Linked DNA regions of Saccharomyces cerevisiae S288C. The protein of the gene in region 2 purifies or fractionates together with the protein of the main gene of each other region. This does not show direct contact. Each region holds a gene or a part of one and is shown on either strand. Other genes may lie near its edges.

Region 1 (6,119 bases), on a different chromosome or scaffold from region 2:
AAGCACACCAAAACACATTCCACTTATGCATTCGAGAGCAACACAAACAGCGTTGCTGCCTCACAAATGAGAAACGCCTTAAACAAGTTGGCGGACTCTAGTAAACTTGACGATGCTGCTCGCGCTAAGTTTGAGAACGAACTGGATTCGTTTTTCACGCTTTTCAGGAGATATTTGGTAGAGAAGTCTTCTAGAACCACCTTGGAATGGGACAAGATCAAGTCTCCCAACCCGGATGAAGTGGTTAAGTATGAAATTATTTCTCAGCAGCCCGAGAATGTCTCAAACCTTTCCAAATTGGCTGTTTTGAAGTTGAACGGTGGGCTGGGTACCTCCATGGGCTGCGTTGGCCCTAAATCTGTTATTGAAGTGAGAGAGGGAAACACCTTTTTGGATTTGTCTGTTCGTCAAATTGAATACTTGAACAGACAGTACGATAGCGACGTGCCATTGTTATTGATGAATTCTTTCAACACTGACAAGGATACGGAACACTTGATTAAGAAGTATTCCGCTAACAGAATCAGAATCAGATCTTTCAATCAATCCAGGTTCCCAAGAGTCTACAAGGATTCTTTATTGCCTGTCCCCACCGAATACGATTCTCCACTGGATGCTTGGTATCCACCAGGTCACGGTGATTTGTTTGAATCTTTACACGTATCTGGTGAACTGGATGCCTTAATTGCCCAAGGAAGAGAAATATTATTTGTTTCTAACGGTGACAACTTGGGTGCTACCGTCGACTTAAAAATTTTAAACCACATGATCGAGACTGGTGCCGAATATATAATGGAATTGACTGATAAGACCAGAGCCGATGTTAAAGGTGGTACTTTGATTTCTTACGATGGTCAAGTCCGTTTATTGGAAGTCGCCCAAGTTCCAAAAGAACACATTGACGAATTCAAAAATATCAGAAAGTTTACCAACTTCAACACGAATAACTTATGGATCAATCTGAAAGCAGTAAAGAGGTTGATCGAATCGAGCAATTTGGAGATGGAAATCATTCCAAACCAAAAAACTATAACAAGAGACGGTCATGAAATTAATGTCTTACAATTAGAAACCGCTTGTGGTGCTGCTATCAGGCATTTTGATGGTGCTCACGGTGTTGTCGTTCCAAGATCAAGATTCTTGCCTGTCAAGACCTGTTCCGATTTGTTGCTGGTTAAATCAGATCTATTCCGTCTGGAACACGGTTCTTTGAAGTTAGACCCATCCCGTTTTGGTCCAAACCCATTAATCAAGTTGGGCTCGCATTTCAAAAAGGTTTCTGGTTTTAACGCAAGAATCCCTCACATCCCAAAAATCGTCGAGCTAGATCATTTGACCATCACTGGTAACGTCTTTTTAGGTAAAGATGTCACTTTGAGGGGTACTGTCATCATCGTTTGCTCCGACGGTCATAAAATCGATATTCCAAACGGCTCCATATTGGAAAATGTTGTCGTTACTGGTAATTTGCAAATCTTGGAACATTGAAGGTGCGGCTTGCAATCCCTTTTTTACTTTCAATTCTCCGTTAGGTTATTTATTCTACTACACGCAGTTTTTTTTTTTCAATGGGTTATATATCTCTAATATATACACATTTATATGTTTAGACTTATACAGAAGCAAAAAAAAATGCAAAAGAAGCTTAGTGTTCATAATTCTTCACTCACGTCATGTTATATATTTGTTAAGCGTAGCTTCAGTATATATAGAGATTTTCCTTTGGCGGGGTAAGGGTCTGTGAACTTTAGGGAAATAGAATAAACGTAAGTTAAAGGTGACAAGCTCGGATCGTCATCTTTCAATTATCACCCCAAAAGATATTGTAAAAAAGCAAGTTCAATCTCGTTTGTTACATTTGTCCCGTATTTCTACTAATTCAGGCAAAAAAGGAAAGTCCTACAGCAAAAGAGGCAAAAGTACAGTATGGAAATCGATGGCAACACTCTGGTGTTCATAATAGTGATCCTTTTCCTATTTTTCTCCTCACCGGGTGGTGATGGTGTGTCTTCTCAATATGAGTTCAATCAACTCCAGAGACTCAAGCAGCAGTTCCGAACAGAGCACAATACGTTCGTCAATATGACATATACAGATAGTTTTCGAAATATTACCGGGCTTAAACTCAGCTACCAAGACATGCTGAATAATCCTCTCCAAAATGCCACTTACCCACTACCAGGAAAAGATTATGATCGATGGTTTCCCAATCAAAACTACATGGTTTTGCCCAACGATGTCATAGAGGCCATAAATACTGAAGTCTGGAATACTTCGAATGATGACGCTTCCAACCTTTTCCCTCCCAATATTACAAGCACCCTGTTAGGTAAAATCGACCTTGTATCAAATAACAAGTACGAAAAGATAAGGATGCCTGTACCCAGATTCTATGAGCCGGCAACTGATTTTTCAGAGGATATTCCTCCTGAAGGTGAGACGTACTGGTCTGAGTGGCCTTCGTATGGCGAACTTCATAATGTGAGTTTTCAGCATGGCGAAATAGCTATTCAAATTTCTCATATGAGCAATCTTCAGGACAATAATAATTACTTAAGGAGAAATTTCATAAATAAGAAAAATGACCGTTGGAAGTTGTTAAATCTTCAGATTGATTTCTCAGATAAGGCTGAAAAGGAAAAGCATTCCATATACTCGAAGGCTGTATATGACATTCAACGTGGTAGAATTCTTTCTATTTCTCAGAGTTCTAAATTTCATTCATTGTTCGCCCTTCCTCATTACATGTCCTTCCAGAATGATTATAATGAGAAAATATTTAATGATGTCAAGGAACTCGTTGATGAATTTTGGAATTTCACGGATTACACAGATGTCATGACCATGAAAGACGTACAGGATGCTTATAATAATGCCAACTTTAAATGTGAGTATTTGATTTTTCTTCAGTTGGAACCATGGAATCAGTACACAAGAGATCAGATCAAGTTAATAGATGATGAATTGAATTGGCCCCTGGGGCGTCCGGCAAATCTGTCTAGTTTACCGCCCATAAATGTTGTCTCTGGATTACTGTATTCTCCAGACTGTGGCGTACGATTAGGGCTTCATAACGTAAAGGGTACACGGTACGAATTAAAAATAATGTCGATCAGAAAACATCTATTGTTCGGTATTGCATTATTTGCAGCCCAGATATACTTATTGCTTACTCAGATGCATCATACAAATACCCCCTCCATGGTCAACAAAATCTCATTCTATTGTTTCTCAATGATAAACTTAGTCGATGGTTCCTTGGCCACTTTGTACTTTGTCGCAGCTAGTGTCGTTCCCGAATTGTACTTACCCCTAGTTATAAGTGCTTTTTCGTGCTTTATCTTGGCATCTATTTTTGAAATACGCTACTTAATTTCAATTTACGCTTCACAGGTTAACGAACAGAATGTTGGGATTATCAACCTCCTGCGTGGTAACACTGGCACATATGATGAGAATAGGCCAAGACCCGCATTCATTCCCGATGAAGGGTCTATCGGTGGCTCGTTATATGGTAGGTTTTTCTTTATGCTAATCATTTTCACGTTTTTAATATTGAGTTCAACTTCATGGCCCCGTCAGCTAAGGATGGTATTTGAGTATATCCTAATCTTCATATTAAACTCATATTGGATCCCTCAAATTTTCCGTAACGCCGTTAAAGGTATTCCTTCAAGAAGAGAAAGAGCAAGATCTAGCATTGGAGGAAATAGAAGTCAAAACAAAATGCCATTATTGTGGAGTTTTGTAATTGGTACAACAATAATTAGAAGCTTGCCCGTTGTGTATGTTTTCACTTACTCCTCTAATGTGTTCAGGCACCATAAAGATGTTCATTTCGTCGTATTTTTATCATTGTGGCTACTGTTTCAAATTAGTATACTGTATTCTCAAGATGTATTGGGATCGCGCTGGTTCTTGCCTAAGCACACAATACCTGATGGATATTCGTATTTCAAGCCCCTTTCAAACGAGTATATATCGGAGCATGGTGGTGGAACTGCTGAACATACCGTTGATTGCGCGATATGTATGTCTGATGTTCCAATTTACATAGAGGAAATTCCAGAAACTCATAAGGTGGATCAGCACTCTTACATGGTAACGCCTTGTAATCACGTATTTCATACTTCGTGTCTAGAAAACTGGATGAATTATAAGTTACAATGTCCTGTGTGTAGGTCACCATTACCTCCGTTGTAGATAGCATCTCTTGATCCTAAGAACTATATACTGTATTTGTATTCAAGATCCAAGATACCGTGACATTTCCTATTTGTCAACCATTGCAATAAGAAATTTTACATGAATAGTGCATTAACTTTTTATTACCACTAAAGTAGTTTTGCTTAAATATACAATAGGCAAACTAGACTTAGGATAATTCACAAGGGTTTTTAGTGTTACCCTTTTTCCGTATGACACATTTTTCGAGGAATTAATTATTGGGAAAATATTGCCGATCAAGATCCATTGAGGTGAATCTAAATCGCTCCAACTCCAAGTTGGGGAATCTTAAGACCGTCACTGCCTTCCAATTACACTGCTTTTGTTTCTTTGACAATAAGAACGCAAAAGTAAATTTCTTTTTTTTAACAAATTATGACACATCCTGTAGCAGTGAAGGCATGTCTATTTGACATGGATGGTCTTCTCATCAACACAGAGGATATTTATACTGAAACTTTAAATGAAACTCTCGCAGAATTTGGTAAGGGACCTTTAACTTGGGATGTGAAGATTAAATTGCAAGGGCTTCCGGGACCGGAAGCAGGAAAAAGGGTGATCGAACACTACAAATTACCAATAACTTTAGATGAGTACGACGAAAGAAATGTTGCATTGCAATCTCTTAAATGGGGTACTTGCGAATTTCTTCCCGGTGCATTGAATTTGTTGAAATACTTAAAGTTAAAGAACATTCCTATTGCATTATGTACGTCTTCGAACAAGACTAAATTTCGCGGCAAAACAAGTCATTTAGAGGAAGGTTTTGATCTTTTCGATACCATTGTCACTGGTGATGATCCAAGAATTGCAAAAGGTAGGGGTAAGCCTTTCCCGGACATTTGGCAGTTGGGTTTAAAGGAATTGAATGAGAAGTTTCATACCGATATTAAGCCCGATGAGTGTATAGTGTTCGAAGATGGTATTCCAGGCGTAAAATCAGCCAAGGCATTTGGTGCACACGTTATTTGGGTCCCCCATCCAGAAGCACATGCTGTTTTGGGGGACACAGAAGCTTTGTTAGCCGGTAAAGGTGAACTATTGTCTTCTTTGGAAAAACTGGAAATGTCCAAATATGGACTGTGAATTTCCAGTATTTACGTAAACAATATATTTGTATATTGCACTAAGTATAAAAAGGGATGATTTGTATTTGATTTATCACACTACTTTATGTGGTGAGCTCAGTTATTTTTGTATAATATACTATAGTACATGTTTGGGTTTTTATCGTTTTATTTCAATCTCATTACAATAAAATATTATAGTGAACATGCACATCGAAAGGAAAGATTGCAATAGCTGGTGTTCAAAAGCTTTGTGCAAATGAATTCAGACACGAATGCATTTAAGGACATAAGAATTTCATGTGTTGAACTTTCTAGGATCGCTTTTTTACCCACCGAATCATTTGATCCAAATTCATTAACGCTATTGGCATGTTTAAAAAAAGTTGAAGAGAAGTTATCAGCATACGAAGACGATTCACTTTCGCCAAAATTTGCAGATTATGTTTTTGTTCCTATCGCGAGTTTATTGAAACAGCCAGCTCTCGGCGAGTCTCAAACAGAATACGTCCTACTAATTATATTTCATCTCTTACGGACATGTTGGTCATCTAATGGTAAATTCTCCGAGCAATTGGGACAACAACTGTTCCCCTTAATCACATTTTTAGTCAGTTCTGATAAAGATAATCAAAAATTAATTACTAGATCAGACGAGTTCAAGTACGCTGGTTGTTTAGTCTTGCATCAGTTTTTCAAATCAGTAAGATCGCAAAGGTACCATAAAGAGTTCTTTTCGAACTCAAAACCTAATTTACTTCCCGCTCTAGGACATTCTGTTACCATTCTGTTGAAAATTCTGGAGCAATCGCCCCAAAATAATGA
Region 2 (6,920 bases):
ATAGAACACGATCCTGTGGAAGGGAATCTTGAATTTGATTCTACCAACCATCCTGACTATGATGTATCTAAAAAGGCTTCTGAAATTTCAGTTAGCTCAAGATCTGACAGAGAATACCCACTATTAATCAGAATGTCTTATGGCTCGCATGACAAGAAAACAAAATGCTCAACAGTGGTAAAAGCAAGTGAGTTAGATCAATTTTGGCAAGAGTATTCATCTGTATTTAAGGGGGGCATGCAGAATTTGATCAAGAAGAAGAAAAAGAAGAGTAAGAACGGTACCATCAGTAAGACAGGAAAGAAAAACAAGGTAGCGAAGAAAAACTGATGCACGTGACACTTGAGTCAAAAGGCATGTGCGCCTCTTGTTATCTTTGGATGTGTAGATTAAAGGATGGCAACGTAGATATAAAAGATTAATTGCATAAAGTTGTGTAGATATAAATTTAACTAAACTTTAGAATAAACGTTTTGAGATGACTATTTTTGAAATTCCTTTCATTCGTCCAGGCGTTCCATTACAATATTTCCTGATGGATATATGCCGCTAACGTCAGATATTTTGGTAGATAAATCAAGCTCTCTTCTTGGTACCGGCGTGATCAATTTGAAGCTATACTGGTGCTGATAATTAGCAGGTTGGTATACGGGTAAAGTATCGTTTTCTGAGTTCAACATGTCATGCAACTGTAATTCTACGAAGGCATATATCTCCTCCGTTGGTAGAGATGCGTCAAACTTTCTCACTAATCTCTGCCCATTTTCTAGTCTGATCGCAACTTTGCTTGCATCTTTATCAGAAGAGGGTTCGGGTTTTAGTTGGCTTTTTCTCCACAATAGCCATTGGTTTTCTATTCTTTGGTGCTCTCTTTCCATTTGTTCTCTTTGGGTCTGTTCCAATCTTTCTGATTCTCTTTGTTGATCACGTCTTAAGGAATCCTGGTATCTTGAATCCTGTTGTTGTCTTATTAATCTCTGCATTTCAATATTTTGTCTTTGCTGACGCAATTGAATTAATCGAGAATAATTCTTGGAGAATATGGCCTCCAAATCTTGGGCTTTGTAGTTAGAAATAGAACCTTCAACTCTTGCTATTAACTCTATTTTTTTCTCAGCCTTTAAAGAAATTATTCCAAGTAGGGGATATTGCCTAATTTTTAATGCATTGGAAACTTGCAACCCCTCGGATGTAGTAACGTCACCATACCATAGTAATACCTGGTACTTCCTTATCATGTTAACAAAGGCTTCTGAGCACAATATTTTATTAACGTAATCCATATGATTATCCAACAATGGGTCATGTAAATAAATGACTCCAAATTTCACTTGTTCGCTACAAGCATCCAATAATTCAGTGTAACTATTTTGCATAATGCTTTTGGAAAATGTTCCATTTTCAGGGTTGTATAAAGAACCAAAACTAAACTGGACCCCACTGCTCTCATTGTTGCTCGTACTGTCAGTATTGCTGCCATCATCATTATTCCCGTTACCTTCAGAACACGTTACAGCTTGAGCTTCGTTTTCTAGATTTTCTAAAAGACGGTGTAATTGGGAACTGTGGTCTAGTAAACGGTTGTGCTTCCTCTGGTAGAATCCGTGAAGTCTTAATAGAGGTTTTAAAAGACGTGAACTTCGGACAATGAAATTCAATAAATAATAAAGAACTATTAGGGGAGCTTGAAATAAAAAATGGAGTATTGATTTTAAGCGTCCATCCCGGCTCTGTGTGGGTTCATTTGTATTGCTGTTTTGATCTTCTGTCCTTCCATTCAAATCAGCAGGTGGTTCTTCTCTAAAAGCACCTGGGATTCGAATAAAGGAATCATCATTATTTCCAAAAGTATGCCTAAATATATCCATGTTTAAAGGGTATGTTTAAATCGCAGTCAAGCCGATTGATGAGGTACAACAAAATTTGGGAGTACGATTGCCCGCTGTTTTTGAACTTACTCTCACTTTTTGCTTCGTATGTAATTAAGCAAGGATGTGTTACAATAAGATTTCGCTTTGTTATTATCGTTTTAAAAGCGGTCGCCGAAGTGTCGAATAAAGGACAATGATAACGTAAAGAGAAAGAAATTGGAAAGAGACTGACCGCTAAGGAGATTGAATACATATATATAATAGTATGTGGTTAACTTGGAGAAGATAAATTGGATTTAAAGTAGTGGATAATTTTTCTTACATTTTCTATTGGTAAACCATAGACAGGGTTGACATCAGTAAGTTTCGATGATCCAATTAGGCGGTCTGGAGTACACTTAATATTATGTGGAGAATCATTAGGAGTGCAACTGTATGAACTTTCCGCAACAGCCAGTCCTAATAGGCAATAATTTGTATGGTAAAAGTCTGAGTGGGCCCCTGGTTTATCTCTCAAACCAGGTTGCTCTTTTTCTTGGCAACAGTACAATATGTAGTCCCGAAGAGCATGTTTGTTGAAGCATTGGCCATATCCAAAAGCTTCAAGAATGGCAGCCGAACCTCCAACCCAAAAACTATAGCAACCGTCAACAAGTTTGTTGCTCCTTCCGCAAAATCCTCGTTCTTCTTGCAATTGACGAGCACTAGACCATTCTAAAAGCTTTTCAACATTTATTTGGTCCATGGACCTTAAAATTGCTAGACTAGCTGTAGCACAGAAAGTATAGCCTCCGTGTGCCTCATCTACGTGAGGACAACTGCCGAATCCACCTTCATAATTTTGACAATTTTTCAAATAGTTTAACACACCTTCTGTAAGCTCTTCTGTAAGAATATTTAATAAGGTTGCTATGCTCAAGGCACAGTATATACCTCTTGTATCCACTTCTCCGACTTCTAAACAGGTCTTGAATCCTCCATTAGGCTCTTTCAACGATATCAGCCATTGGTAAATTCCTTTTCGATCAATTCTGTCCCAGCATCCATCTATGTTATCGCAAAGGGAGAGAGCATTAATTGCAGCATAAGTGCTGGCCAAATGAGATAATTGGCCAGGACCTCCACCAAAGGGTCCTCCTGAAGGACTAATAGTAAAGAGCTTATCTACAATTTTTCTTTTGGTGTCATCTGAAAGCCAGTCTCTGTCCATTACCTTCAATGAGTTAGCAATCCAATATAGCATCCACGGTTGTGAAGCATCTAGTGCTGTCATTTGTGGAGGTAACGATATCTCAAAAGCGACATCCAAGTACATTTTGTGAAACTCTTTCGTGAGAGCAGGTTCTATATTCTTTTCATCATCGTATATCTCTAATACACTTTGTAGTACTTTGTATCGTGCTTCTGTAGTGTCGGTTTCTAGTTCCTTCATCAATGGTTGGATTGCTTTACTTGAATCTACATGCGCTATATCGACGACTCTTTCCATAACTGGTCTCTTTCTTCCTAATAAGGCAGTATTTATAAATTTAGCCCTAGCTATGGACCTTCCTACTCTCTGTCGCATACGCTTTGATTGCCTATAGCTTTACAAGCACTGCAGTTGTTTCTGCATAAGAACGGCGATGATATGGACCCTTGCTTGGTTTATCCTAGCCACTTTCGCGTGTTTCAGTTTCAAGCTTTCCTAATCAGGCAACAGCTTATACGAAAAGATTAATAAGTTACAATGTTAAACAGTTTCGCTTCAAGACCTCTAACGTTAGCCAGAAATAATAAGAATAGGTGGATTAAGTTACAAGTGTTTTTGTCCTCCTACTTAATCAGAACAGAGCACGGGAATAGTGATCTCTTTCAATAGCGAAAGGAGGGAAAAATAGCCCTGCAATATATAAAGGAAGAAGTTAACACCGTATTAAAAGGGGTGAGGCCGTTGGGACAAGTGGTAGTTTCCTTAAAGTCTGGTTTGATTGACAATATTTAGAAGTTAGTGAAACGAACAACCTAAAAAACTTTGTTGTGCAGTAGAGAGCTTTACATTTACCTTCGGCAGTAAAATGGGTTCAAATGATTTGATAAATGAAGCATATGACGACTCGGAAGTAGTTGGTGAGGAAAGAGAATCAAAATCTGCATGGATGAAGAGGTGGTATCAGCTACTTACTTCTCCTTTAGACTTGCAGTTGGTAATAAATGAAAAGTTAGAAATGATCAACTGGGATGCTTATGCTAAAAGTCTAGCTAAGCCATTAGGGAATTTTTTAACAATACTTTTTTTTATCATAAGACTCTTGCAGGACAATTTGATCAAGCCCAACTATTACAAACTAAACGTCAAGTCTGGCGCTTTCGATCTTTCTAAATCCAATAAATTAAAAGAGTTTGATTATCTATGGGAGATATCATCCAGCTTTCAAAACAATAATCAATTTTATGCATTTCAATCTTGGTATTTTGTTACCTTAAGGTTTTTGAATAATCTTTTCAGGTTTACTATTTTCATACTGCTGTCCCTGAACCTGTACGTAAGCTGTAAATTCATGTTTGGATACTTTAAGACTTACAATCTCTTCCATTTGAAAAAAGAGTTCAACTCCCCAAACCTCACTAAACACAACTTGAAGGATCTAAGCAAAGAATACTATGAAGATATTTATAAGCAGTCCTTGTGGTCTATGTTGAAGCATTTTTTCAGAGGATCTCGTGATGACGGTCCTCATGTTAATCAAAATGAAGATGAGATATTTTTTCAGTTAAGAAAATGGATCCCCACTAACTTCATGATTAATCTTTTTGTGTCTTTTTCACCAACGGCAATTGTTTTTTTAAGCTTTTCTGATGTTTCGTTTACTTCAGCAATTGCTATAGTATTCCATCAATATATTCTGGATTATATCATAACTAAGAGATTTCAAAGAAGCGTGGACGACGACTTGATTTTATCAAGTGCAGCTTTGCAAGAATATGAGGACAAGCATATAATGGCACGAATTAACCAATGCAGCAATATAGATACTCTATCATCTGCAATGGGTACTAGATCTAAAACACCGAGAATATTCACCACTCACTCCCTATGTGGCGAAGAAATCAGAGAGGTTTATAATTATGAAAAAAGGGAATTTGAGGCATTACCGAAAATGACAGAAAGTGTGCCAGGATCCCGTGAAACCAGAATAAAGGATTATGGAGGCATTTCTCAAGTATCTGACCATCAAAGTCATCCCATTGGTTTTCATTATTCTCCTAGAATGTCCCCATATTATAGGGATAAAGTTTTGGATAACAATTTGGCTCAATCATCGTCAAATGAAAATTTAGAGAAGGGCGGAGCTTACCTGCCGAATCAAGACCAAAATAGACCATCGAAATCCCTGAGCCCATTGAGAAAAACGCCTTTAAGCGCACGACAGAAAAGGTTTGAAGGCTCAGAGTTCAATGTATTGAATAAGAATGATATTAATTCCATTCTTCGCTCTCCAAAGAAAAAGAAGAACTATCACAAAAGATAACGTTTCTTAATTATGTCTAAGTATATACAGTTACGTAAAAATCAATAAACAAAAGTAAAACAATGCTGTTTGAAAAGTTATCAAAATAATAAATGTATGAAGTATTGTAAATGTTCATGAATAATTAGCTGGACGATTTCTGTTATAGGTCATTCCAACCAAATAACCAATTACTCAGTTTGTGCGTAAAACCAGCAGGTTCATTATTTCTGTATTTCGCTTCTTGCTGACGCATTTTCGATTCTAGGTTTCGCAACAGATTAGGAATATTCGAATTCGGTCCTGCATTTTGCATGAATGGCAATTTGCCATCTATTACATCCAGCCGCTTATTCGGAGAATTTGCTACTATTGGACTTGAAATATTTGTTGGATTACCAGCATGACCGGCAGGAGTATTATCGTCTTCCCTCAGAAGAGTGCCATCAGTTATTATTACGTTTGGTGGGGATGGTGTATTAGATGTCGACGATGTGGAGGAATTTTGATACATAGAAACGTTGAATTCTCCAATGTCGTCGACATTATCAATTTTGCAGCCAGCTAATTGCTCCACCGCATTTTTTGAATATGGGATGCAACCAATCAAAGAACCGCGAAATATGGTTCCATTTTCCTGCAGTGCTCTCAAAGCAGAAGATGGAGAATTATAAGTGAGTTTGACCCAACTTTCACCAGTAAATATTGGATATTTTTTGTTATTCGACTCATTATTTCTGCCTTTTAAAGTAATAGATTTATTAACAGTAGAATCGTTTTCATCACAGCCTGTATCATGATTATGGAATATTCTGAAGGTGTTGGGGTTAATCCCGCGACCCAATCGCAATACTTGAAAGTCTTCCATAATATGACCGAAATGGGAGAAGTGTTCAATCAATTCATTGGAAATTGATTCAGGATAGCCAAATACGATAATTGCGCTCAAACTAGAAGACTTGGAAGATGTTTCATGGACTTTATTGTTTGTTTCGGCGGTGTTGTAATTATTATCTAAATGGTTCTGTTCAATGTTTGCTATTCTAACATAAGAGTCTTTATCAAAAACATTTGGAGTATTTTTGGAATCATAAGCTGACCTATTTGTTTTCTTCGCCGTGTATTTGTCGGTAACAAACTGAGTTGTTAATGATGGAATAGAACCGAATTCATCCTCGCGTTGCCAATCCTGTAAAGTAACGGAGGGTGGAATATCGTTAAAATTTGACAACAGAGAATTGATGTCATTATTTGCCGCAGACTTATTTCTTTCATTATGCTTGGAATCTTGATTTTGCTTACTGAAATTTCTCATAGTAGCGTTCATAGAAGATGAATCATCATTCTGGTTGATGTCAGAAGAAGAATTTTGCTTTGTTGTCTTCCTTCTTATCACCGTATGAGGAGTGAATCTCTTTTTAGGATTATTCACCCAGCTAGGATTATTCCCTTGGCCATGTTGGCTTATGTTATTTGTGCCGTTTTTAATGTTGTTGTTGTTGATGCTATTGTTACCGATATTACTACTATAGTTATTGGCGTTTACAGTATTGGAAAG

The links.
Region 1: the proteins of UBX3 (region 2) and TUL1 purify together in Saccharomyces cerevisiae (affinity purification with western blotting; 6 studies listed by BioGRID, with this or other methods). This does not show direct contact.

What each region holds. Positions count from the first base shown.
Region 1 is NC_001143.9:369,903-376,021, forward strand, and holds TUL1 (ubiquitin-protein ligase TUL1), read left to right. Parts: upstream 1-1,926; coding exon 1,927-4,203; downstream 4,204-6,119. Other genes in the region: UGP1 (UTP glucose-1-phosphate uridylyltransferase), read left to right, coding at 1-1,488; YKL033W-A (haloacid dehalogenase superfamily protein), read left to right, coding at 4,603-5,313; TTI1 (Tti1p), read left to right, coding at 5,554-6,119. UniProt on the Saccharomyces cerevisiae protein: Catalytic component of the DSC E3 ubiquitin ligase complexes that tag proteins present in Golgi, endosome and vacuole membranes and function in protein homeostasis under non-stress conditions and support a role in protein quality control.
Region 2 is NC_001136.10:292,892-299,811, forward strand, and holds UBX3 (clathrin-mediated endocytosis regulator UBX3), read right to left. Parts: upstream 1,869-6,920; coding exon 501-1,868; downstream 1-500. Other genes in the region: RNA-binding signal recognition particle subunit SRP14, read left to right, coding at 1-330; RAM1 (protein farnesyltransferase), read right to left, coding at 2,143-3,438; NUR1 (Nur1p), read left to right, coding at 3,929-5,383; FG-nucleoporin ASM4, read right to left, coding at 5,526-6,920.